Linked DNA regions of Alligator mississippiensis. The protein of the gene in region 3 purifies or fractionates together with the protein of the main gene of each other region. This does not show direct contact. Links are inferred from orthologs where the notes say so. Each region holds a gene or a part of one and is shown on either strand. Other genes may lie near its edges.

What was found.
Region 1: the proteins of LITAF (region 3) and NEDD4 purify together in Homo sapiens (co-immunoprecipitation; 4 studies listed by BioGRID and IntAct, counting the BioPlex papers as one, with this or other methods). This does not show direct contact. The link is inferred for Alligator mississippiensis from reciprocal best matches to the Homo sapiens genes LITAF and NEDD4.
Region 2: the proteins of LITAF (region 3) and NEDD4L purify together in Homo sapiens (affinity purification with western blotting; 3 studies listed by BioGRID and IntAct, counting the BioPlex papers as one, with this or other methods). This does not show direct contact. The link is inferred for Alligator mississippiensis from reciprocal best matches to the Homo sapiens genes LITAF and NEDD4L.

Annotation. Positions count from the first base shown.
Region 1 is NC_081834.1:25,833,748-25,841,160, reverse strand, and holds the start of NEDD4 (E3 ubiquitin-protein ligase NEDD4), read left to right. Parts: upstream 1-4,195; 5' UTR 4,196-4,252; coding exon 4,253-5,803; intron 5,804-7,413. UniProt on the Homo sapiens protein: E3 ubiquitin-protein ligase which accepts ubiquitin from an E2 ubiquitin-conjugating enzyme in the form of a thioester and then directly transfers the ubiquitin to targeted substrates. Specifically ubiquitinates 'Lys-63' in target proteins.
Region 2 is NC_081826.1:283,189,838-283,197,515, forward strand, and holds the start of NEDD4L (E3 ubiquitin-protein ligase NEDD4-like), read right to left. Parts: upstream 3,219-7,678; 5' UTR 2,959-3,218; coding exon 1,783-2,958; intron 1-1,782. UniProt on the Homo sapiens protein: E3 ubiquitin-protein ligase that mediates the polyubiquitination of lysine and cysteine residues on target proteins and is thereby implicated in the regulation of various signaling pathways including autophagy, innate immunity or DNA repair.
Region 3 is NC_081836.1:39,426,433-39,434,626, reverse strand, and holds the start of LITAF (lipopolysaccharide-induced tumor necrosis factor-alpha factor), read left to right. Parts: upstream 1-5,143; 5' UTR 5,144-5,259; coding exon 5,260-5,407; intron 5,408-6,359; exon of another isoform or gene 6,360-6,473; intron 6,474-8,194.

The sequences.
Region 1 (7,413 bases), on a different chromosome or scaffold from region 3:
GTAGCTAATTATCTTGCCCCTTCCCTCCCCAACACTTGCACCCAAATCAAAGGCTTGGGGCTCTTTTCTCTGTTTAATGGGGAAAATAACCTTATCTTGGATTTGAATAAATATGGTAGATGAGCTCTAAACCAGGCATGTGAGAAAATGAAAGTTTATTAAAGCAACTCTCCTTAATCTGAATACTGGTTGGTATAAATGACTACTACTTACTTATAGAGCAGTTTAGTGTTGGAGACATGGTATACACAACTATATGACAAATAAAGTCAGACAAGGTTCTTTGGGTGAATCTGATATCTTTTATTAGACCAACTTAAATAGTTGGAAAACAATTATTAGGCAGGCTTTCAGGTTCAAAAACCCTTTGTCAGGCTAAGGAAGTTTCAGCAGTTGGTGTGTGTTCTTCCTGGATGGAATGAAAAGTAAAGAAGCCAGCAGCTGGGCTGGTATGCATGCAAGACAGGTAGTCAGTGAAAATGTAGATTGAGGAGTCAATTGGTGAGAGATGGGCTGGGGAGGGGCAGGGGAAGAGAGAGAAGGGGGATAAAAGTGGAGAGATACCTGGGAAGTCAGATGTCAGGCAGATGATAATGTGTCATAAATCCAATGTCTATATTTAGTCCATGATTTTTAGTATCCAGGAGGTTGATGAAGTTGAGTTCATAGGCTCATCTCTGGGAAGTGTTGTGTAAGTTTCCTTTGAGGATCAGGACTGAGAGATTGGGGAGAGAGTGGTTTTCTTGTGAGAAATGTGCCCCCACAGGTAATTAGGTATTTCTGTCTTTGGTAGATTTCCAGCGTGCGTTCATTCTGGTGCGCAGTTATTGTTTGGTCTCTCCTACGTATTTTCCATCATGGCATTTGGTGCATTGGATGAGGTATATTCCATTTCTGGAGGTGCAGCTGTAAGATGCAGGAATGGTGATGGCTCTGTTGTGGGGTGTAGTAATTGTGGGGGTGGTAGAGATGTGTTGGCAGGTTTTGCATTTCTTGTCATGGCACGGTTTGGATCCTTTTGGTGTGTTCTGGGCTTGAGGAAGTTTGCTTCCGGTGATGAGGTTAGCGAGGTTCGGTGCTTGTTTGAAGGCTAGGATGGGTGGCTCTGGGAAGATCTTTTTAAGAATAGGGTCTCTTTCTAGTATGGGTTGCAATTGTTTGAGGATTTTCCGTACAGGTTCAAGGGAGGGGTGATATGTCATAACCAGCGGTGTGCGATTTGTGGGGGTTTTTCTTTTGTACTGCAGCAGTTCTTTACGTGGTATCTGGGTGGCTCTTTCAAACGTGCGATCTCTCTCTCTGGAGGAGTGTCCTTGTTGGGTGAAAGCCTTTTTAAGATTGGTGAGGTGGAAATCCCGGGTGTTCTCTTCAGTGCAAATTTGGTGGTATCTGAGGGCTTGGCTGTATATCACAGCTTTTTTGGTGTGTTTAGGGTGATTGCTGGTTCTGTTCAGATATGTACGTTGGTCTGTGGGTTTCTTGTATAACGTGGTCTGTATTTTATCATTCTGGATACTGATCATCGTGTCTAAAAAGGAGACGTTGGTGCTGGAGCATTCTAGAGAAAGTTGGATGGAGGGATGGTGATTGTTGAATTTCTGATGGAACTCAGAGATCATAAGTTTTCAGTCCACATGATGAAGATGTCATCGATTATATCTTAAGTATGGCAAGGGTTTGATGGTGCAGTTCTTGAGCAAGTCTTCTTCTAGGTGGCTCATAAAAAGGTTGGCATACTGTGGGGCCATTTTGGTGCCCATAGCTGTTCCCATCATGACAAATAAAGTAGCACTGACCAGTATTATAAGTGTTGCAAACATTCCTGAATATGATATTTGAAAGACTGATCTTTAGCATTTCCTATTGACTTCAGCAGGCCAGAATTCTGCATCAAGAGCCATATAATTTTGGTCAACTAGGCCATAATGGAGGTCCTTTTTTAAATAGCTAAGTTGACTAAAGGACGTCATGACATTTGGCTTAAATTTGACACCCTAGTTGGTGAAACTACTGTCAGCTTACTTCTTCTCCCATTTTACCATAAGTATAGGGGAAAAAATATTTAAAATTGTATAGGCATGGAGAAGGGGAGGGGGAAATGTTGAGCCTAGTACCATCCCTCAGATCTTGTTTCGAAAACGGTTGCGCTCTGGTAGGTATTTAAAATGCTGTTTTTCTTTGAATTAAAATTAATAAACGTTAAGGTGCTTATAGAACCACTTTTGCTTCTGTAAAAAATGAAATCTTCCTGCTTTCCTTCAAATCTTGAGACTTGAGGAAAATAAATTGCTTGAAAACTAAACATAGCTTTCTAAAGCTGTGAACAAAAAAAAGCTTTTGGGGGTCTTTGACCTCTTTTCCTCCTCTTAATGTTCAGTTTGAAGAATTCTGGTTAGTGATACCTGAAAAATAGCTGAACTATTGTATTTTGTTGCCTTTTTTATGAATTAGCTAGCATGTATGTATTGTTGCATCTGTCAACTTTGGATAATGAAAGGGTTAAATGAGCCCAGGAGTATTATTAAAAGATAAACTTGTTTCATTTGAATAATGTACTACAGACACTTAATTACTGGTTTCTTGTGTTGGGAGAAGGTAAAATTTAATTTTATTGCATGCAGACTGAAAATACTGTAATGGTTAAGTAAATATTGAGTAAGAAAAAAAGCCATCAGTATGACCTATTAAAATATATATATAAATGGTCTAGTGTTCTCTACTGTTTGGACTTTATCAACAGCAGTAAATAATCCCATGTTAGCATGGTAGGGTTTAGCACTGCATGATGCATGGCTTCTGTATTCAGAAGTACTTTCATGAACGGACGTTTACCTCAGACGCTCGTAGTAACAGTAAGAGTGTCAATTTTAAAAACCTCCACCAGGTGCCAGCAAAGGGCCTTTTTGGTCTACATGATAAACTGAAACACTCAGAAATTGTCCAAGTTAGTTCAGTTTTACATTTTTGGAAAATACTGCCAATATGTTTTTGCTTGGTTACAGATGAATTGTTATATAAAACAATCACTTTTACATGAGCTAACTGTGAATATAACTTAAAAGTCTGCATACAATAATTGTTATAGTGTAGCTTGGAAGCCATCTCTTTCCTGTCGGTTGTACCTATTGGATTGCACACTTGTACTGCAATTGGGAGGGAAAAAATACATTGTGAAATTCAGATTTATGTCTGCTTCTGGATGAATAGCTACAAACAAACTTCAGGAGTCGACATGCCACTAAATAACCTGGCTATCTAACCTTTTTTAAATATCCAAAGAAGCTAGTGCCGATCAGGAATTGCTGGCCAACAAACCGGATATTTCAGTTTGAAATGTATGGATTAGGAAAAGTGGATGATAATGCTAACAAAGCACAGCTTTGACTTGGAAAGGGGTTGGATGTACACATTTCAGAAAAACATTTGGAACCTTGAATGGTAAATTATAAAGTGGACAGTTTTATACTTAATTTTAACTCTTCTGCATCTTGCTTAAAACAAAAAGCTAACTAAAACGGTAGAGGGCTCACCTAATTGACAATCAATGTTATGTATGATTACTGAGTAACTTTAAGATTCCTGAAATAACTTCTGTTTTTTTAACCTTTTATTAATACAAAATTGGTTAGTTTTATCGGCATATGCCAATATTCAAACTTTCACAAGTTTTTTAGCATGGCTACTATTTGGAAATTCAATGCTAGATTTGGTACTCTGTTATATGGGACTTCATTCCTACCAACTTCCTGTAATTCTAAACCTCTGGGTAAAAATATTAGTAGTCATACGCTGCTGAGGGAAAGTACGGACAAATTGACTCAGCTAGTGTAGCTGCAGCAGGAGTTGCTGTTTTAAACTTGAAGCATTAGGAGATTATTCTTGAGTTGTATTCATTTATGCAACTTACAGAAGGTATAATTGCAATACGCTTGGCAGTATTTGTCAGAATGCGGCAGCTGAGTTCAGTTTAAAGGTCGTTGGAACTCAAGTGCTTTGTGTGTATGCTCTCTGACTACAAGCAATCAGACAGTCCAGAAACTGCATTTCAGGGAATGGATGATTTATTCCAGGAGGTAATTTTTGTATAATAGTTAGTATCTTGTAGAATTTCGTACGAAGTCTGCAACCTTAATGGGCTTTTACTTTTGTGATGTACTTGAACTGGATCTAGATTCTATGAAGTTGCCTTAAGTTATTCTGCAGAAGGAGCTTTATGGTTTTCATTTGCTAACATGTGTAGAAATGAGTACAGATGGCACGAAGGTTAAGATTGCATTTTGCAGCCCGAAGAAGCAACACCGATCCACTGTCAGAAACCTCTGAAGATGACTTGGATAATAATATTTATATGCATTTCAAAAGATCTTCACAGAATTCTGCATCTAATGTCATAGAAATGAAACTGACTCCCAGGCAAGCAGTCTTTCCACCTGTAATGCAAGAAATAATTAATCAACAGCAAAGCGCAAGTGGTTCTTCGCTGCAAAAAAACAACAAAAAGAGCACTTCACTTCAGATTTCCCTGCAGTCTAGAAAGTACAGTGGATGTCTTCAGTCTGGTGATACAGTGGCTACTAATGAGGATTCATCATTCACTGGTGTCGGCAATGAAGGAAACTGTTCTGGGAGAAATATTGCTGATTATCCATCTAACATGATAAATACTACCAGCCACTTGAGCAGCACTACCATGTTGAATGGCAGTCTTGGCAGTATTGCAGCCAGTGACAATGGATCCTTCAGTAGTGCTGGCAGTGACTATGGATCATGCACAAGTACCACAAGTGATGGAGGTTCACACTGCAACAGTGTCCTTAGTGACAATAGTAGTTGCGCTCTTTCCACAGGTGATGGTATTTTTTATAATAGCATTGTGTATGATAACTCTTCGTATAGAAGAACTACAAACAAATATAATTCCTATAGGAAAGATGCATCTCAGGAATGTTTGTGTCGAAGTAATACTATTTTTGACCAAGATGGTTTGGAGCAAATGAAATTGTCAGCAAGGAGGAAAACTAAAGTTCCACTAAGACGTTGTTCATCATTGGTAATTTTCCCTCGAAGCCCTTCCAGTACTCCACCAATGTCTCCAACAAGCTCAGGTCCTCCACCACAGAGTGTGGCATATCAGACCTCACATAAACTAGTTATTTCTCCAAGTGACCTAGCACAACATGAAAATCAAACTGGTAATAAGGAGTTTCTTTCAACAGCAGTCAATGGACTTCGACTCTCTAAATCTGCTTTTTCTCCTGGTGAGGTTAGAGAGATTAGACCACTTTACTTGAATACTTCATTACAGGCCAAAAGTCAAGCCACAGATAGTTCTGAGCAGGCAACTTGTGAAGAAACATCTGATGGCTTCTCTTGTATTTCAGTTCACCTTACTCAAAAAGTATCTACATCAAGGGATGAAATGGTTAATAGTTGTGGCAGTCCAGAATCAAATCTGAACTCTAGTGCAGAGTGCCCTCATTTAAAACTGACACATAGCACATCTGCGTGTTTACCCTCAAAAAGCCATTCAGAATATCGGATTAATGAAAACGAACTAAAAAGACCTAATATTCAAATGAACAAAACCCACCATTTTCTGCAAAGAAGCATGTCCTTAGAAGGTTCTTGCCAGAAAGTTTCTTGCTATTTATCTAGCCTTAAATACAAGTGTCCTAAGGCAGGGGCATCTCACTTGCACATACAGTTTCGACCTGGGAATGAAGGAAAAACTAATGGCTTTAAAAAAAGAAATGGAATTTCCAAAAGGGAAATGTGTAACAGGACTTTGTGGAAGCCCCTCAAGGTGAGTAGTTTTAGATTAATGAAAAACTGACAGGAATCTTTTCCAGGGGAATTGTAATTAGTAAATTGTTAAGCTTTCTTTTTCCCTCACAGCATGAACACAAGCCTTTTATGAATGTTTATATTCTTGAAACAGTTTGCAATAGTGTATTTTTAACCTAACTTTCAGTTGATCTTTCCTAGTGTCTGGCACTTTTGGTGAAAATTCTTATGGTGACATGCTTCAACTTTTAAATCCTAACTCATTTCCTATTTACTTGGTTTTTCTTTCCATCTGGTAATTAGGTCTTAAAGTTCTCCTAGGGTTAGCTCAGATCTTATTTTAAGCTTTAAATGTATATGTTTAATATATAGAAATAATTTTACTGAAATATCTGGACCTAAAATGGTTAAGAATTAACTAGAGTACTGTGGAGTCCTTCAAATTTGTTTCATATAAACTTTATTTTGCAGAAACAGCTTGCTGTCTGTAGAATTAAAGATAAGTAATATTTGAACAGAGGAACTGTAAATACCATTTGTTTCTGTTACACCCTGAACCACAGGAATTTTAAGAGTTTCCTCCCCTTTTTTTCTCCAACCACTAGTTCAGCTTTAGCTGTGCACTTTAACTTAATATCTTTTCCAACAACATTGCTGTCCACATTATGGTACTTGGCTTTGGTAGTCTTTATATTTAAAAATATTATTTGGTAATAAAATGTGTTTAAACTTCAGAAATTTGTTCATTTTAATTAATTCATGATGTAGCTTTCACACACAGGCAGGTTACGCCACAAGAAATCCAGAGGTGGGTGGAGAGAGTATCATCTGCTCTTTTACGTCACTCATCTTACAAATCTTCAAACTGTACAGTGTGCTTAGTTGTAAGCCTATGCTGGCAAAAAAATGCAATAATTTGACACCTCTTGCAAAAACGCATGACCTGAAGTTATAAATAAACGCTAGTTTTAATTATTTTTGCTACCTTGTTGATGTAAGTGAAGGGAGCTGCCAGTGATTTACCAATAGTGCTAATCTGGAGAGTCAAAATAGAATTTCCAGGCAATACAGTCTTGTGGACCTTGTTTATTTCACTGTTTTCAAGGAAATTATTGCTTAGTTAGTGCCAATATCAAGAGTCCTTTTTGTACTTCTTATTAAAGTTAGTAAGCGTAAAGTGAACACTTTATGTATATGTATACATATGTGTGTTCACTTTACGTTTACATTAAGTGTACACTTTTTATATAGATATATAGATATTTGTTTAAATTGCATCATCAAAATACAATGGAACAGAATCTGTGTGTGTATTGTTTTGGAATATCTTTGGGGAGACAGGGAATGTTCATGCCAGCACTGCTATTTTAAATATTTTGTTTTCAAATATTCCTTAATGTACCTACTCTTTTGTAGTTTGACCATATTTATTATAAAGTAGCCAATTGCCCATCAAGGATGACAGGTGTGGGGGGAGCGGGTGGGGATGGAGCCCTGGGCCCACTCCCCCTTCCCTCCTGCTGTTTGGGGACTGGACCCGCTCCCCCCTTCTGCACCACAACAGTGGGGGGGAAGGGAGGAACGGGCCCAGGCTCGATGTGGGGGAGGAGTTGCGCCCAAGGGTGGGGA
Region 2 (7,678 bases), on a different chromosome or scaffold from region 3:
TTGCTGGACAAAAAACTAGAGGTGATCAATGGAAAATGGCAGTTAAGACTTAAGACTGGGTGATCTGGGGTAACAGTATGTTGAAATGCTGTGGAAGCCTCCCTGACAGAGGTTTAGATGGTGTCTCAAAACTCTGGTCAACTCTAGACTAGGGCCTAAACCAAAAGACTGCCTGTGAATTACCCCAAATTTACAAAAAATTACAACTGGATTAATTTGGATTGAGCTTCACAACTCGCCCTTTTTCTCCCAAATTCCTGCACTGAAACATCCTTAAATTTCAAGGAAAATCGGTATCCAAATATGTATGCAGTTCAGGCCTACTATTACAGATTAAAACTTCTGAAAATAAAAAAAGGAAAAACACTTAATGTTTATGTGACAGAATAGTAACATTTTATTTAACATATTGAAGAGCATGTGTGAACTCCTAATGAAAGGAAAACACCAGAGATATTTTCAATAGGAGAATTCAGAATGCAAAATATCCAGAAGCTGCCAGCAAAGACACTAATCAATACATATACAAGGGGTTTTTATCTGGTACACAAATTGAACAGAAGTTTTTGTGTTCTGAATTAGAGCTTTGAGGACAAGTATTCTTGTATTCCTAATGGGTGCTGGAGTGTTAAAAAGATGGCTATCTTGGAATAACTTCCATACTATTTGTTTTTTGCTATAAAACCTGCAGAGTCATCATATGGCCTTGCTGCATTTAGCAGCTGTCTTTCTCTGCTACGTTTAACTGAAAGAGAGTGTGAGAGAATAAGGCAGTGTACAAGTAATAAAAGGCCAAAATTGTTCTAGCGAGGCTGTTTTCACAGCTGGAGATAGAATACTTACTATTCTATATACAGCATCATTAAGCTTAGAAACTCAAGTGGGCAGTGTTAAATTGCACTATAAAGCAATTCAAGCAAATGACTCCTCTACCCCCTTCAGCTTTAACCACGCTTGGGTTTTTAAAATAATTGTTTAAAATAACATAAAACACAAATTCTCCCTCATTATATGAGAAACAAGCATTATAAGACAATTTTTCACTTTATAATGCAACATCATACCCAAGATGCTGTTAAGAGACACTTATATGCCCAAGATGTACAAAACGAGACGTTACTTAGTGATGTGAAAACCGCATTTACAGTAGCCTGATCACATTTCATTAGACACTGAAGAGGCAGAGAGCACAAAACGGCATATGTGAAAAGTTTTGTTTTTTGGGGTTTTTTTGGTGTAAGAAAAGATGAAGTACAAAAGTATTTTTTGTAATAACAAAAACAATTCCAACCCCCTCATAGTTTGAAAGCAAAATTAGTTTCCTTACCAAAACTTACTATGTAATTTCCAAGCCCTAAGCTATTAGTGTATTTTGCTTTCATGTTAAGTCTGTGGGTATGTGTATGTATGTATACATATTATATTCAGAAAGCACTGTAATATTTGTTTAAAAAAAAAGGAATTCTTTGCACAGCAAAGACTAGCACGCTGCTAAGGCAATTAAGGAACAGTGACACAGGCTCCCAATCCCAAGTCTCTTCAGCTGACGTCACACTGAGTTAAGCAACATGTGAGCCATTAGGATCTCAACAAAACATTACACTTGTAATCATCACTGGGAGCAAAAGTTATTTTAGGTTAGAAATAAAGATGCTTTACAGACTGTTCCAGAGAAATGTTGAGCCTTCTCGTACTAAATGAGTGAAGATCTTTATCTGAAAATGAAGAAGCTTTACTAGATTGTATAGGTTACCAGGGAAGCATATTCAGAGAGGTACTTACTGTGGCCCTGGCTGCTGTGGGACCAGGTGTACCAGGGCTCTCCTGAGCAGGAGCTTGATTTTGTTCTTCAGGACCACGGGTTACAAGAATTCTGAAATGCTGCTGCCTTGTGTTTTGATCTGGTCTGATTTTAAACGTGCATCCCCCTTGTCCTTGAGGAATCCTTTCTACTGAATTGCTTCTAGATATTTCTGACCCATTTCTGCCATTTCCATGAAGTTCTGAATTTGCTCCATCTTCCACAGGGCTAATCTGTTCTGGTCGTGGCTGGACCGGGTAGGAAGTGCTCCTTTCCAGCCGTATCCGGGGATATCTCACCAACCTGTCTCCTTTTGTTCCAGTAAAACCAAAATTGTAATCGCCTCCTATACCCGTACCACTGGCCTGTGGCTGCTGCAACTGGAGAACAAAAAGCTTTTTTCCTGAATTTGCTGACATATCTGGCAGATGCTGCAAAGACCAGCGCCTCAGTTCAGAGGCAGGAACATTGTGCTGAGCCTCAGACCCAAAGGGCAAAAGTGTTACCTGATGCATATCGGCGCTGGAAGCACGATGCTGAATTCGTACACCACTTATGTTTAAACCTGAAGCTGCTTCACTTCCCTCATCATCTGGGGCAGTAGATGCAGCAGCATCACTCTGGTTACTGGAAGGAATTGTACAAAATATTGAATGGTTACAGGAAGCAGCTCCATTAACCTGCTGCCCTAGTTCTTCAGGCCCCCTGGGCGGTGAATTTTCTGGTGTCACTTCTGGACTGCTTGGCGAGGAAGAACAACTTTCCATGGGTGATGTCAGATTCTCCCTAAAGTCTGAGAATTTACATGGAAGCGTCTCATCTGGAGAATCTGGGGCTCCGCACTCATCAGCATAGCCATTCACCGCTTTGCGCTGAAGGGAAATGTGCATAGATGAGCTCCTTGTTGGGCGCACATCAATACTGTTCAGCAGCTGAGGAATAAACATGGACGTGCTCCTTTTTAAGGTGCCCACTTCTTGTAAATCGCTGCCACCATAATCCGCTCCATGTCGGGAGAAAGGATGAGGACTGTTTCTTCGGGGCAAAGTATGGAATGCCATGAAAAAGTCATCTTCTCTTTCGCGGTCTAGGATCTCCGATTCAGGGGCTGTGTTGCTTCGTCCAGAGCCAAAATGAAACCGCAGCCGATGGGCCATGGTTTTACAGAGAGAGAAAAAGGAGAAGGAAAACAGCAGCAATTCAGGAACTGCCAGAAGTTAAAAACCATAGACATAAACTCCAAGAAAAAGTGTCCCATCTGCCAAACTGTTAGCACTGCAGCACTGATAGCGACAGATAGCAGAAATAGCCCAAGTGGCAAGCAGCATTCCAGGCATGATTGGATAAGAGCAATCAGCGCTCCTACACACTGTCACATAGGGTAGGATGGTTGGAATCACATGACCTGGTTCCCCCTCTCCAATGCAAGCTAGTGATTTTTTTTTTTTTTTTAATACCAGCAAGAGCCTGAAACAGCACCTTCCCAGCTGCTCCTTTTCCATCAGAAAGGAGCGGCCCCAGCGGGAGAGCTCTCACAGCTGACTAAGGCAGCAAACACACTCGGCACTGCTATAAATCTAAACCACATAATATTCACAGGGCACTTTTGTACTCAGCAGAGACAGAGAGAGAGAGAGGGAGGGAGAGAGAGAGAGTTAACTAGAAAAGAAAAAACCACTCTAATTTAGTGTTAAAAAGTTTGAGTCAACGTCATACGCAGATAGGCAAGTAGAAAAGGGTTCAGGGAAGAGACAGACTCAGGCTTGATCCGTTTCGGTGGTGTCTGTTCCAACATTAGGCTACCATGGTAGAACATAAATAAATATTAGTGCATGGTTATGCTTTAGATTTTTCCTTGTTCTTAAAATGATTTAAGTAACAAACTATTTTCTCTGGAAAAGGGCACAAGTTCCACGTTGCCACTGTAAACACAGCATAGCCTATGCTACTCAGTACAGCTTATTCGCTACATAAAAACTACAACAAATAAAGAAACCTTACATATGACAAGGATTTCACACACAACGCAAGAAGCAGAAATGAGCAAAATGGCAGGAGACAGTTTCTTTTTCGGATTTACCAGGCAGCAAAGATGAGTGAAAACTGGAGACGGGTGTGCATGTAGCTTTGTCCTGATTTCCCTTAAACACCGTACAAAAACACTGCCCAGCACTGGCAGACTTCCAATGAGAAAGTTAGCAATATTACCACGAGTCTGATTGCCAGCATGGAATACAGTTATGCTTGCTAAGAGCCAAAAGAGCTCAAAGAACAACGAACAGACAGCATACAACCCAAAATTATAACATCCCCTAAAAATCAGCCCTCCAGAATCTCACTGTTTAAAAAAAAAAAAAAAAAAGGGGGGGAGCACATTTGAGGGCCCCTGGAGTTTTAATACACTTGTTCATGGTTCATACAACAACCAATTAAAAAGAATCTTCAAAAAGAAACAAAAGTATCCCCCATTCAGTAGTGCAGAGAGGGAACTTGTTTGAAAAGCACTAGTTTTGTCAACAGCTATGAAAACTTGTGGGGGTAGGTCAGCCCCCCACTTAGGCATTAAACCTCTGTTTTTCAACAGATTGCTTTCAAAAACAGAAAGTGACCAATTAGAGGAGAAATGGAAGCTACTTTAAATGACAAAATAGCCACGGGCCAGGACAATCCTCTATTGTTTTAACTGGACTATGAGCCAACAACAAGAAAAACATGGGTATTTTCTAAGCAGCAACAGTACTGAAGATTGCCTGATGCAATCCCAGGTGCTATTATTATTTTAATACACATTTCAGATGACAAAGAAGGTTTTAGACTATTTGGATGACAAAGACTTTTTGCACTAATGCTTAAAAACTTGTTACCAAATATTTTTGGTTGTGGCAGGGCTGGGTAGCAGGGGCAACCTTCTCCAATCTCACAGTTCTGTGGTGGCTATGGTACAAGTTGAACCAAAAAATGAAAAAAAAACCCTGACAAAATTAGGCTTTATACTAGTTATTTACTCCCAAAATAAACTGTAACATAGAAAAATAAGTGTTTTGGCTCCCAAAATATAGTCATAACATAGAAATCAATCTAATAAAATTCAGTTCAATGCACCCTCAGCCTAGGCACATAACTTAACACTATGATAAACTGAACCATAAGTGCTCTTTGTTTTATATATATATATATATATATATATATATATATATATACACCACACACACACACACACACACACACACACACACACACATATGCACATTAGCTCCATCTAAAAAAGCACCCCAAGTTACCAAACATAATATCTGAAACGTAAGCAAGAGAAAGGTCTCAAATGTTGCTTTGCAGTAACAGTTGAAAAATACCTTTTAAGTGACTGCCACTAAACTATTGCATTCTGGTTTGACTTCAGGAGGCGGTTAGCCAAATTAGGCAGGCAGAAGGCAGGGCAGAGTGGCACTGTGTAGACTAACAAATTAAGTGAGGTATAAGCTTTTGTAAGCAACAACTCTACTGTCAGATGCTGAGAATGGCATCATGTCCAGCCAAATTATAGCATATGATGAAGTAAGCTATTGTTTACAAAAACGTATGCCTCTGAATTAGTTTATACGGTGACACTCTGCCCTGCCTTCTGCCTGGTTTGACTCTGCACAACACTGCCCTCTGCTGCCTGGAATAAGACCCATTCAAAAGGTTATGATGTTGTCCCACCCACTGGTTAGCCTACAAAGAAGACTACAGCTAGCCAAATCTAACTAAGAATCTCCTGTAGGTCAAAGGGAGGTGGCCTATGTTTGTATAACAGATGATCCCAATTTCTCTTTTGATTAAATGCACACCAACAACCACAGAGTCCATATACCTATGTTGGGTTACTTCCTTACAATATTCCCTAGACCTTTCCCCTTAAGAGTCTGTATGTATATTCTATCTTGCACTACAGTTAATGGAGACATAGGGAAGAAAAAAGAAACTGCTTTTCTATGAATGATCTGTTTTGATGTTAAAGATCTCATAAAGTAATAAAAACATATTCCAACTACCTAGCAAAACTTATTTCCCCTCCCACTCATCCCAATATAGTACACACATTTTGCTGAAACACAATGTACTTATCCTAATCAGAGCAAAATGAACATTTTATGTAATAACACAGGAGAGTGGTGCTAAAAGTGTTGGATTTTATTTTAGTAGTTTACAAAGTATAATATGGCACCAATCTCTTCTACTTTCCCCAGAACCAAAGCATAAAGATTTTTGCACAGATACCTATTAAAGAGTGACAGCTATTTAATCTTATCAAAACGAGCAGCTCATAAGGCTTGGAAGGCTAGAATTTTCATTATAACTTCCCCATTGCAAAAGATGACCTTGGTACAGGAAAATAAATTTGAATATTGATGCTGTAAAACAGACTGATGTCCTGGTTTATGTGCGTCATTTTATGTTCCTTGGTGTAGCTGCTGAAACATCCCAGATAATATGAACTTTTTAATTAGAACAGGGGTCAGCAACCTCCTCAAGAGATTTTGTTTAGCCTGCAAAGCCAAGACATCAGGGAGAATCAGGAGTAATTTGGTGGTGGTAAATAAGAAGTGGTGGCAGCTGCTGGGTCAGAAGCAGCACCTTCTTTTCCCTCCTCCCCCCATGAACAGAGCTCTGTCAATTTGGTATGCCACTCCTAAAAAGTAGCCAAGCCCTGAATTAGGATATGTCAAAGTATCCAAGAATTTAAAGAAGCTGTGTGACATCTGTGCATGGGCCACTGGTAACACCTGAGTCAGAGTGGGGGAGGCACATGCCCCCCCCAGTGGCCAGTCAATCACTGGGGGGGTCCCCACAGCCAATCTCACCAACCGGGAAGCCAGTGGCACTCCTGTGCTTCACTTTGTGTTTAATAAAAATACAAAGAGCAGTACAAGGACTATACTCACCAATCTGTTTTCATCAAACACTTCAAACAGGAGTCGATGATTGGTTGGGTTTACCTATCAGAAAATACAAACAGTGTTACTTTACATTCATTACTTTTATGGTGACATAAGCCATTTATTGCAGTTTGTTAAATAACTAAACCACAACCATAAGGATGAGAGGCCAAAAAGCTTTGTGCCCAGCTCCAATTACGCTTAATGTGCAAGTGCAAGAATGCTTCATGCCTAAATGTGCAGCAAACATTCTAAGTTTCAATATTATATTTCTATATACAGCAATTAATAGAGCATACTATATGCTACTTTCCTGTTCCAGCAGAAAACTCCAAAGGAGAGAGATGTGGCTACTGCATACCAAGAGAGCTATCCTACCAGGCATAGGAGGCTCCATGGTTACTGGACCATGAAAGTCCCTAGATGGCCAGACTGATGGGACTCTGGGGACTTCATTAGTACTGCAGCTGCAAATCCTAACAGGTGATGCACCAAACAGATTTTTAAGAGGCTGTTTCTCTTTTGGCCTGGATTCTGAGATTTTTCATTCAGAAATATACTGTCTTTCTATTATTTACCCTCTGTTCATCTATCTATATGTGGTGACTATTCACCACAAGGAACACTTTGTAAAACTGAATTAAAGGTAGACCACACACACTGTGCATTTTCAGAAAACTTTCCCAATACTGTAGCCAAGGAACAAATACTCCTCTGAATATAGTGGGCTATTCCCAATATTCTACTTGAGGCAACACAAAGAAGATAATCCACACTGGGAAGACACATCTGTGAGATTCAGGGGAAATTCCAAATTTAACTATATTGAGGAGTTTGAGCCACCTTGTGTATGAATTCATTGGGTTTATTTCTGACCAGGAGTTTAACATGTTTGTGTAGTACCTGTTCTGCTGTTAAAGCAACAAGACTTCCAGTAGTCTGGATCATTACAGAGTCC
Region 3 (8,194 bases):
TTTTTTCTGTATCAGTGTTCAGATTTCATACTCACTCCACAGTGAAATGCACATTCTAATTTCTGCATTACAGATGGTTTATTTTCCTGGTCTAATTTTTCCCATTCATTTTTGTTTCATTTCTTTTTTTTAAAGGACAACTCCCGCAGGGCATATTGTAGAATGTAAACTACAGCTTGCAGTCTTTTACATCATTTCAGTTTTAACATAGTCTTCATGAAGTTTCTATGGTAGGAAAGTATTATTGCTGTGAAAACAAAAGCTAATATGCCTAGTGCATTTGCAAAGGCATTTCTCATTCCTGAGGTTAAACTGACATCTACTGGTGTCCTGTAATAGTTAATATACTAATAAAAGCAATTAATTTAATTTACAGGAATCCATTATAGTATTTTTTTTTTACCACGAATGAAATATTTCTGGTTTAGTTTCATCATATCTTTCCTCGCTTTGTTTTTGTACCAATTGACTTCTTAAATTTCAGTAAAAACAACATTCTAAGAAGTAGCCACCTCATGTGGAGAATGATTTCCCTTTTTTTTTTATTTTAGGAAATTGTGTATAGGTCATTTTATAAGAAAATGAGTTGTCTGAACTCTATAAGCAAGAAAAACTTCAGTGTTCCCTTCAGTGAAATACACACCACTGTAACAATTTAGAGCAGGATAAGATCTCAGAAATACCTATTTTCTAAAAACATGCCAGGTGGTCTGGACTATTGATATCCAGCTGAGATGCGGGATCAAATAATATACTTAACCCAGCTGTAGCTAAATCAGGACACATTGGTTAAGAAAATCCTGTTCAGTTCTTGGAGAGGGAAAAGTGTCATGATATCATAAGATCTTCCTTCCAATAACAAACCATAATCAAGATGTCTGTTTGTCTCATCTGAAAGAGCAGTGTAGTATTCTCAGGTTTCATAATGAGGTTCAGTCCTGGATGATAGGAAAGAATGGGGAGTATTGAATCATTTACCTGCAGGAAAGCAGATTTGTTTTTTTTGTGGGTTCTCATCAAGTACTCACCAGATCTAATTGTGCTTGATTTGAGATTATTTGAACACAAAGCCTTGGAGAACAGAACTGCAGGGAACTCAGCAGAATAATGCAACTGCAAAGCATACTATTAGAAGTCCTGTTGCCATTTTGAATGTAACTTTACTCTTACTAAATTCTAAACCTGGCTCCAGGATGCATTTGTATGAATGTTTCATGCAGTTAACTCAAGACCAGCTCCAAGATTGTGATCTCCGTGTATGACTGCACCCACTTCAGACAGGGCTGAGCCTAAGTCACATCTAAATCTGGGTGTGATCCAGAAACTAGGTATTCCTCCACATTGGCCCCCGGAGGACTTGATCTCAGAGCACACCTGTAAGATTTGGCTGCTAACCAACAACTGAAGTTGCAGATACCTTTCTTTTACAGTATAGATAAAAGTAGTGATGTTTGGAGCACTCCTTAGAGAAGTGGTGCAGTCAGATTTAAAACCCTTCCTAGCTGAAAGGGTTCAATCCCTATGTCCCAGGAGAATCCCCATAACCCATGTCTCAGGCCTGTTTTACCAGGCCATAGGCAGTTGGGCATTCCTTTTCCTGAAGCGATGCCAATGTGCAGAAAAGAATTAAAGCTTCATTAGCTAGAAAGGGAAGAAAAAGGGAGCATGACACTAGACTTGTGATAAGTATACTCACCAGGGAGACCTGGAGCCTAATCCCCGAATGACAGTTGCAAAGGAGGTGCAACAAGTGTTATTTGGCACAGCAGTGTCCAAATGAGATGTGGAGGTAGCTAACTTGGATACATCAGCTAGGGTTTGCCAGGAACACCTACATACCTTATACAGGCAGTCCTCAGACTTACGACACAATTGGTTCCTGAAAACCGTGTCTTAAGTCGAAACGTTGGAACTAGTAACCAATTTTCTCATAAGAAACTATGTTATAAATGGGGGATTGGTTCCTGAACCAAGGCCCAGTACCCTATTTTCACCAAAAATACCCTAGAATTTTGTATTCGATCAATTATAGATGAGTAATGTAGCTACATTAATATATTTATATTGTAAATAACAATCATAATGATTTGGAAGGACTTCCTTGAGGTGACTTTGCTGGACTCTTTAAAGGGCTCTTGGTTGGACTTTTTGAAGGGTTCTTGGCTGGAGTCTTCTCAGGAGTCTTGGCTGCAGGTTTTTCTGGAGTCTCGTCTGCTTTCTTAAAGAAAGTGTCCAAGGAAGTTTGGACAGATGTTCTCCAGGGAGATGAGTGAAGCCGCGAAGTTGTTCGTTGGCATGGCATTGCATTGGATCAAGCGTTGCAAGTCAAAATTGGTGTTGTAAAGTTGAAACAGGGTGTCAATTTATAAATGTTGTAAGTGCAAAATGTTGTAACTCAAAACGTTATCAGCTGAGGACTGCCTGTACATTTCTGGGGTGTGGCTCACACTTAAGCCCAGCAGAAGCTTCCCGGCTTTGAATTCAGATATGATCAGTGCTGTGAATTAAAATTGCAAATTCACCAGAATAAGCTAAACAAGTTGCTTGAAATCTGTAGATAGTAAAATCAGTAAAAATGTAGATGGTGAAATATTACACGTGGTAAACAAATGCATGCTCCTCAGTATGCTTCGTTGCATTGACAATATGTTGTCATTAGAAGCCCCCAGAGTCACTAGATCTACTGACAAAAATCACTGAATTGGCAACGTTAGAAGTTGGGTGCAAATTACGGGGGAGCTTGGGGAGGGGAGGAGGAGGCAGACACTCCCCATAAGAGACAAGAGCCCCCCTGTACGATTTGAAAATCATAACCTGGGGGGGTCTCCAATTGGATTGCTCCTTCCAATGAACCAGTTTAATTTTTTTCGCAGACCCCCCCCAGTCAAAGTGTAATCTGAACCCTGACTAGAAGTAATGGGTGCATCCTCCTGCAGCCAGAAGGAAAAGCCTAAAACCCTGTGAAGGGATGGAAAGTAAACTACTCTGCTGTCTCCAGGACTCCTGGGGGCTGGTTTCATGCCTCCCCATGCAGCATGCTGCCTATTGTGAATCCCATACTGAGGTGCAGTTCTCGGGCACTGTACAGGCAGTCCTCGACTTACAACATTTTGAGTTACGTTTCACACTTATAACGTTAATAGATTGACACCGTTTCAACTTTTTGACGTCCGTTTCGACTTTACAACACTTGATCTGACCTGACGCCATGCCAGTGAACAGATTTGCTGTGCCGCCCATCTCCCTGGAGAACATCTGTCCAAACTTACTTGGATACTTTCTTTAAGACAGCAGACAAGACTCCAGAAAAACCTGCAGCCAAGACTCCTGTCAAGACTCCAGAACCCTTCAAAAAGTCCAACCAAGAGCCCTTTAAAAAGTCCAGCAGTCACCTCAAAAAAGTCCTTCCAAATCAATATGAATGCTATTTACAATATAAATATATTAATGTAGCTATATTACTCATCTATAATTGACTGAGTACAAAATTCTGGGTTATTTTTGGTGAAAATAGGGTACTGGGCCTTGGTTCAGGAACCAATTCCCCATTTATAACATTGTTTCCTATGGGAAAATCGGTTCCGAGTTGCAACGTTTCGACTTAAGATGCGGCTTTCAGGAACCAATTGTGTTGTAAGTCTGAGGACCGCCTGTATAGGTACTTTATCCAGAGCAGTGTATTGAACTCCAGGAGCAAGAAGCTCAACCTTTATGCACTGCAATATTTAAGTCCCTCCAGCCTTAAGTTCCTCCAGTCAGGGTCAGACCAGTCTAGTTGGGGTCAGGAAGGAATTTTACACCATGGTCAGTTTGGTATGTTTGGGTGGCTGTTCCAGGAGCCTGGGCACAAATCCAGCTTCGCCCTGATAACCTGCCCAAGGGGGAGAGGTTGGCCTTCCTCTGTAGCAGGGCGGCACGGCTTTCTCCTTGGGATCTCTTGAGCATAAAATGACATTCCATAGAAGTAAGACACTGGCTACCATGGATCCCCTGCTTTACCTGTGGCACAGGTTACGGTGTTAGGTCTGTGCTGTGTCTTTGTTGATGGTAGTCTTAAATAAAGTTTATATCAGGGGTGGACAAAATATGGCCTGTGGGCTGGATCTAGCCTGTCAACATACTTGGCAGGCCACCAAACTCAGTGGATCTGGCCTGCAGCTGGTGGCTCCAGCTGCTGTGGTTCCAGGTGGGCGGGTGGCACTGTTTCTGCCCAGCAGCATCAGCTGTGGACTCAGGTGAGGCCTTCTACCGCAGCAGGTGGGCAGCAGCATCAACTGTGGACACCACCGGCAGGTTCAGGAGCCCCAACTGAGAACCTGCTGGTGGATGCACAGCTGATGCTGCCACCTTCCCAGCACAGTAGAAGCTCCTGCCTTGAGCCCCAACCAGGAACCTGCTGCCAGTAGCAGCTGTGGACCCAGGTAGCAGCTTCAGTGGCACTGGGTTGGCGGTGGTGTCAGCTGTGGCTGCTGCCGGCAGGTTCTGCATCAGGGCTCTTGAATCTGAAAGCAGTGTCCACAGCCTGCCTGCCCACCATGGCAGAAGTCCCCATCTGGGCCTACAGCTGGGCACTGGGGCTCCTGGCAAACTACAGCTCACACGAGGATCTGGAGGGAGGGAGAGAGAGGGATTAGGAGAGAAGAGCGAGACACAGAGAGAGGGATGCGGCCCTCAACGGGTCACCAAGACTCATGAGTGGCCCCACAGCAGAAATACCTCCTCCCCCCTAGCTTAGATTGTGAGTTGTAGGGGACGGTTTGGATAGGGACAAGAATGCTCCTGCCTCAGGCAGCGGGTTGGACTAGCGGAGCCCTGGAGGGCCCTTCCCGCCCCGCTGCCCCAGGCTCGCTTTTCCGTCCTGGGTTAGAGGGAGAGGTGCCGAGAGGAGCGTGGCTGCTGCCTGGAGCCTCGTGGCGGGCCGGTTCCCCAGCGGGGGGGGTTTGACTACTACTGTTCGTGACCGGGGTTTAGTTGCAGCCGCTGGCTTCCAGCCCCGCGGGGAGCCTTCCCGCCCGTCTCCAGCCCCGGCCCGCGGGGCCGCCCCGAAGGACGAGCGCGCCCTGTGCCGGCCCCGGCCCGGGGGAAGCTGCGCTGCGCGCCGCGGCGGACCAGCGCCGGCCTCGGCGGAGGGGAGCGCAGCGCAGCGGAGGCCGGGCCGCCCCGAGCCCGCGGAGACGGGGCGGGCGGCAGGGCACTGGCCAAGCCTCGGCCCTGAGCCGTGGCGGGGGGTCGGGTCCGGCTGTCCCCCCGGGCCGGGTTATGAACTTCCCCCCCGCGCCGGTGGATCCCGCCGCCGGGGGAGGGGGCCGGGCAGGAAGGGGCGAGGCGAGGCGGAGCCGGGCCGGCCTTGGGCTGCGGCAGCTTCGTGGGAGCCGGGGAGAGACGGTGGGAGCCGCGAGCCCGGCAGGTAGGCGCGGCGCGGCGCCGCCCAGGGCCTCCCGCGGGCCGGGGCCGGGGCCAGGCCGGTGTCTCGGGCTGCCGTCGGGGGGGGGCGCTGCCCGCGGCCGCCGGCTCCTCGGCGCGGGGCTCCGGGCTGGCAGGCGGCGGAGGTGGCCCCGCAGTGACAGCGCCGAGCCCCCCGCGGCGCCTCCCCCCGGGCCGGGGTCGCTGCCTGCGCCGAGCCCCGCCACCCGCTCGCCGCCCGCCCCTCGGAGCTGGGCCGCCCGACGCCTCCCCCGCTCGTAGCCCCGCTTCCTGAGCCGAGTCACATGTCGGGCGGTTGTTTTCCCTTGCGGTCCTTATCGCTAACTCCGAGCTGCCGCCTGCGTGGGGCCCCGGACATGGTTTAAAGCGGGCTGGGGGCGCCGGGCTCCCCCGGGAAGCCTTGGACGCGCGTCGGCCCGGCGCCGGGCTCGCCCAGGAGGGAAGCGGGCGCCGCTCACTTGGGCTTAGTTCGGCTGCTCGGGACGAAGTGACCCTGCGGCTCCTTGGGCGTTTTTTAAGGAAAAAGCCCCCCCTCGCCCCCCCATAGTTGGCTCTAATTCCAGAGAAAAACCTTGGCCTGCAATTGGCCCTTAAACAGCCCAGTTCAGAAGTGAGTCACCAAGGCAAGGACCCAAAGGGGGAAAGGCACTAAAAATACTAAAGTGAACATTGAAAAAAAATGTGACTTGGTATTTTTATTGCATGTACAAAAACTACTGGAAGTTCAAAAGTCAAGACTGGGAGGGAGCCCGATGTAGACTGACGGTGTGCCAAAGTCAAGTTCAAGTCTGGGTTTTTAGGAGGAAAAAGGCAGACTTTTACCATCTAAACAATAGGGGAATTTGGTGCTCAGGTTTAATGAACTTTAATTAACAGGCTTTAAGGTCACACCTTCAGTTAATTCAACTTCACTTTTCCAAGCGACTCAGTGGACACAAGCTCAAAAAGAAGCAAAAGTGACTAGGTCGTGTACGTACCTGGTTGTATTACAAGTGCAAAAACGCGGGGCCAGAAGCACAAGTTTCATCAGATAACATTTTAATAAGCAAGTAAGATATTTTTAAGAGGAAGTTTTGAGATAGGAAGCTCAATAATAGAAATCAAATAACTGATATATTTTTATTTTTAAAATGCACAGTGCTGTTGTTCCTGTATCTAAGCTTACAGAATTCTTTAAATTATTCCATTTATTGCTTCTCAAATAACATCATAACCTGCAATGTTTGAAACCAATACCCAAAGCCAGAGCAGAATTCCAGTTATGCCAGTCATAAAACTTCTTCAGTAGGACGCTATATAGGATCCTGCTTTTGAAGGGCATCGCCACACCCAGAGACCTACTCAAATTCACAATTTCATGGAACCTGTGAAATTGGGCATTGTTCGTGAAATCCTCTAAATTAAAAAAAATCCTAAAAATAAAATGCTGGCCTCCCAGTGGGAGGGCAAGCTGCTGGCAGGCAGAGTGGTCCCTGGGCTGCAAGGGGGGGTGTTGGTGCTTCCCTCCACAGCAGTGGTGGACCCCCTCCAGGAGGCACCGGGCTCAGGTGGTCCCGGGGGTCACTGCAGCCGTGGAGGGAAGGATCAAGTCCCCGTGCAGGCTCTCTGGGAGGGTGTGGGGAATCAGGCTTACCGCTTTTCTTTTCTTTTTTTTCTTCGGTGGAGCCTGTCTTTCTGGGCTGCTGCCTGGCTGCTTACACGAACTGCCTGCACAGCCCCTGAGCCGCACGGAGCCTGGTGCTTCGCTCCATGGCTGTAGGGCAGCAAACTAAAACTCCTTGGAGGTGTTAGTTTGCTGCGCCCCAAAGTCATTTAAGGTATATTACGCCACGAAATGTGCTACAGCAGCTGGAATTAACGCACAATACGCCACTGATGTGTGCAAACACCAATGCCATTAAAGCGGTGCAAAAGCATTTAACTTGCTTTAAAGTGTCGTGCACACATGCCCAATAGCAACTGCCTGAAAAGGATTCTGTTTAACTAAGTAGTTGACAAGTTATGGAAAGCCTTATTGTTCAGAACATGAAAAACTTTATCTGTACAAGTGTTTATTAGTTTGTTGCTCTTCTACTGAAAAATTTTGGGTGCCCTGACAAACCAGTATATATAGTCTGGTGTCAGAGGGAAAGACTAGTTTATGTCTGTGTTTTCGTAAGTGTCACTAATGACAATGATGACACCTAGATACGTCTGTGCTGCACTGTGGGGAGGGCCACGTACATAAGCCATGTGCATGTTCGGGTGACTAGCGCAGGACTCACTAGTGAACAAGAGCCTGAGTAGTTGAAACCAAAACAGAGAAGGGCAGGTCAGACATTCAGAGGTCAAGAGGAGGGGGCAACCATTCCCCCCCACCCCGATGGATTTGAGATTCACTTCATACTAGGAAAATACTTTGTATTTTTTAGATCATTCTCTTGATTCTTTTCCTTACCAAGTATACAGGTGAGTTTTATTTCTTCTACTTTTTCACTCCAAGCAGTGCCTGCCCTAGTTCTGATAAAAGATATAGGTTTCCTTCACTTTATGTGGCTTCTGTATGTGCAAATTTGCTCTTATGAGACTATCCTTTTTATACCAACAATTTGTTACATGCGAGGCAAATTCATTCTTATGTGACTGGTGTTGTGCAAATGCACAGTCAGCTGCCATGTGCAGTGCATCGTGGGAGTGACGCACAGCAAAATATAGTCTCCTGTGTGGATCTGTGCTCCTTGCTTGTCTGCCCCACGTGTTTCTGTAGTTGCCTTCCCCATTATGATAGTGC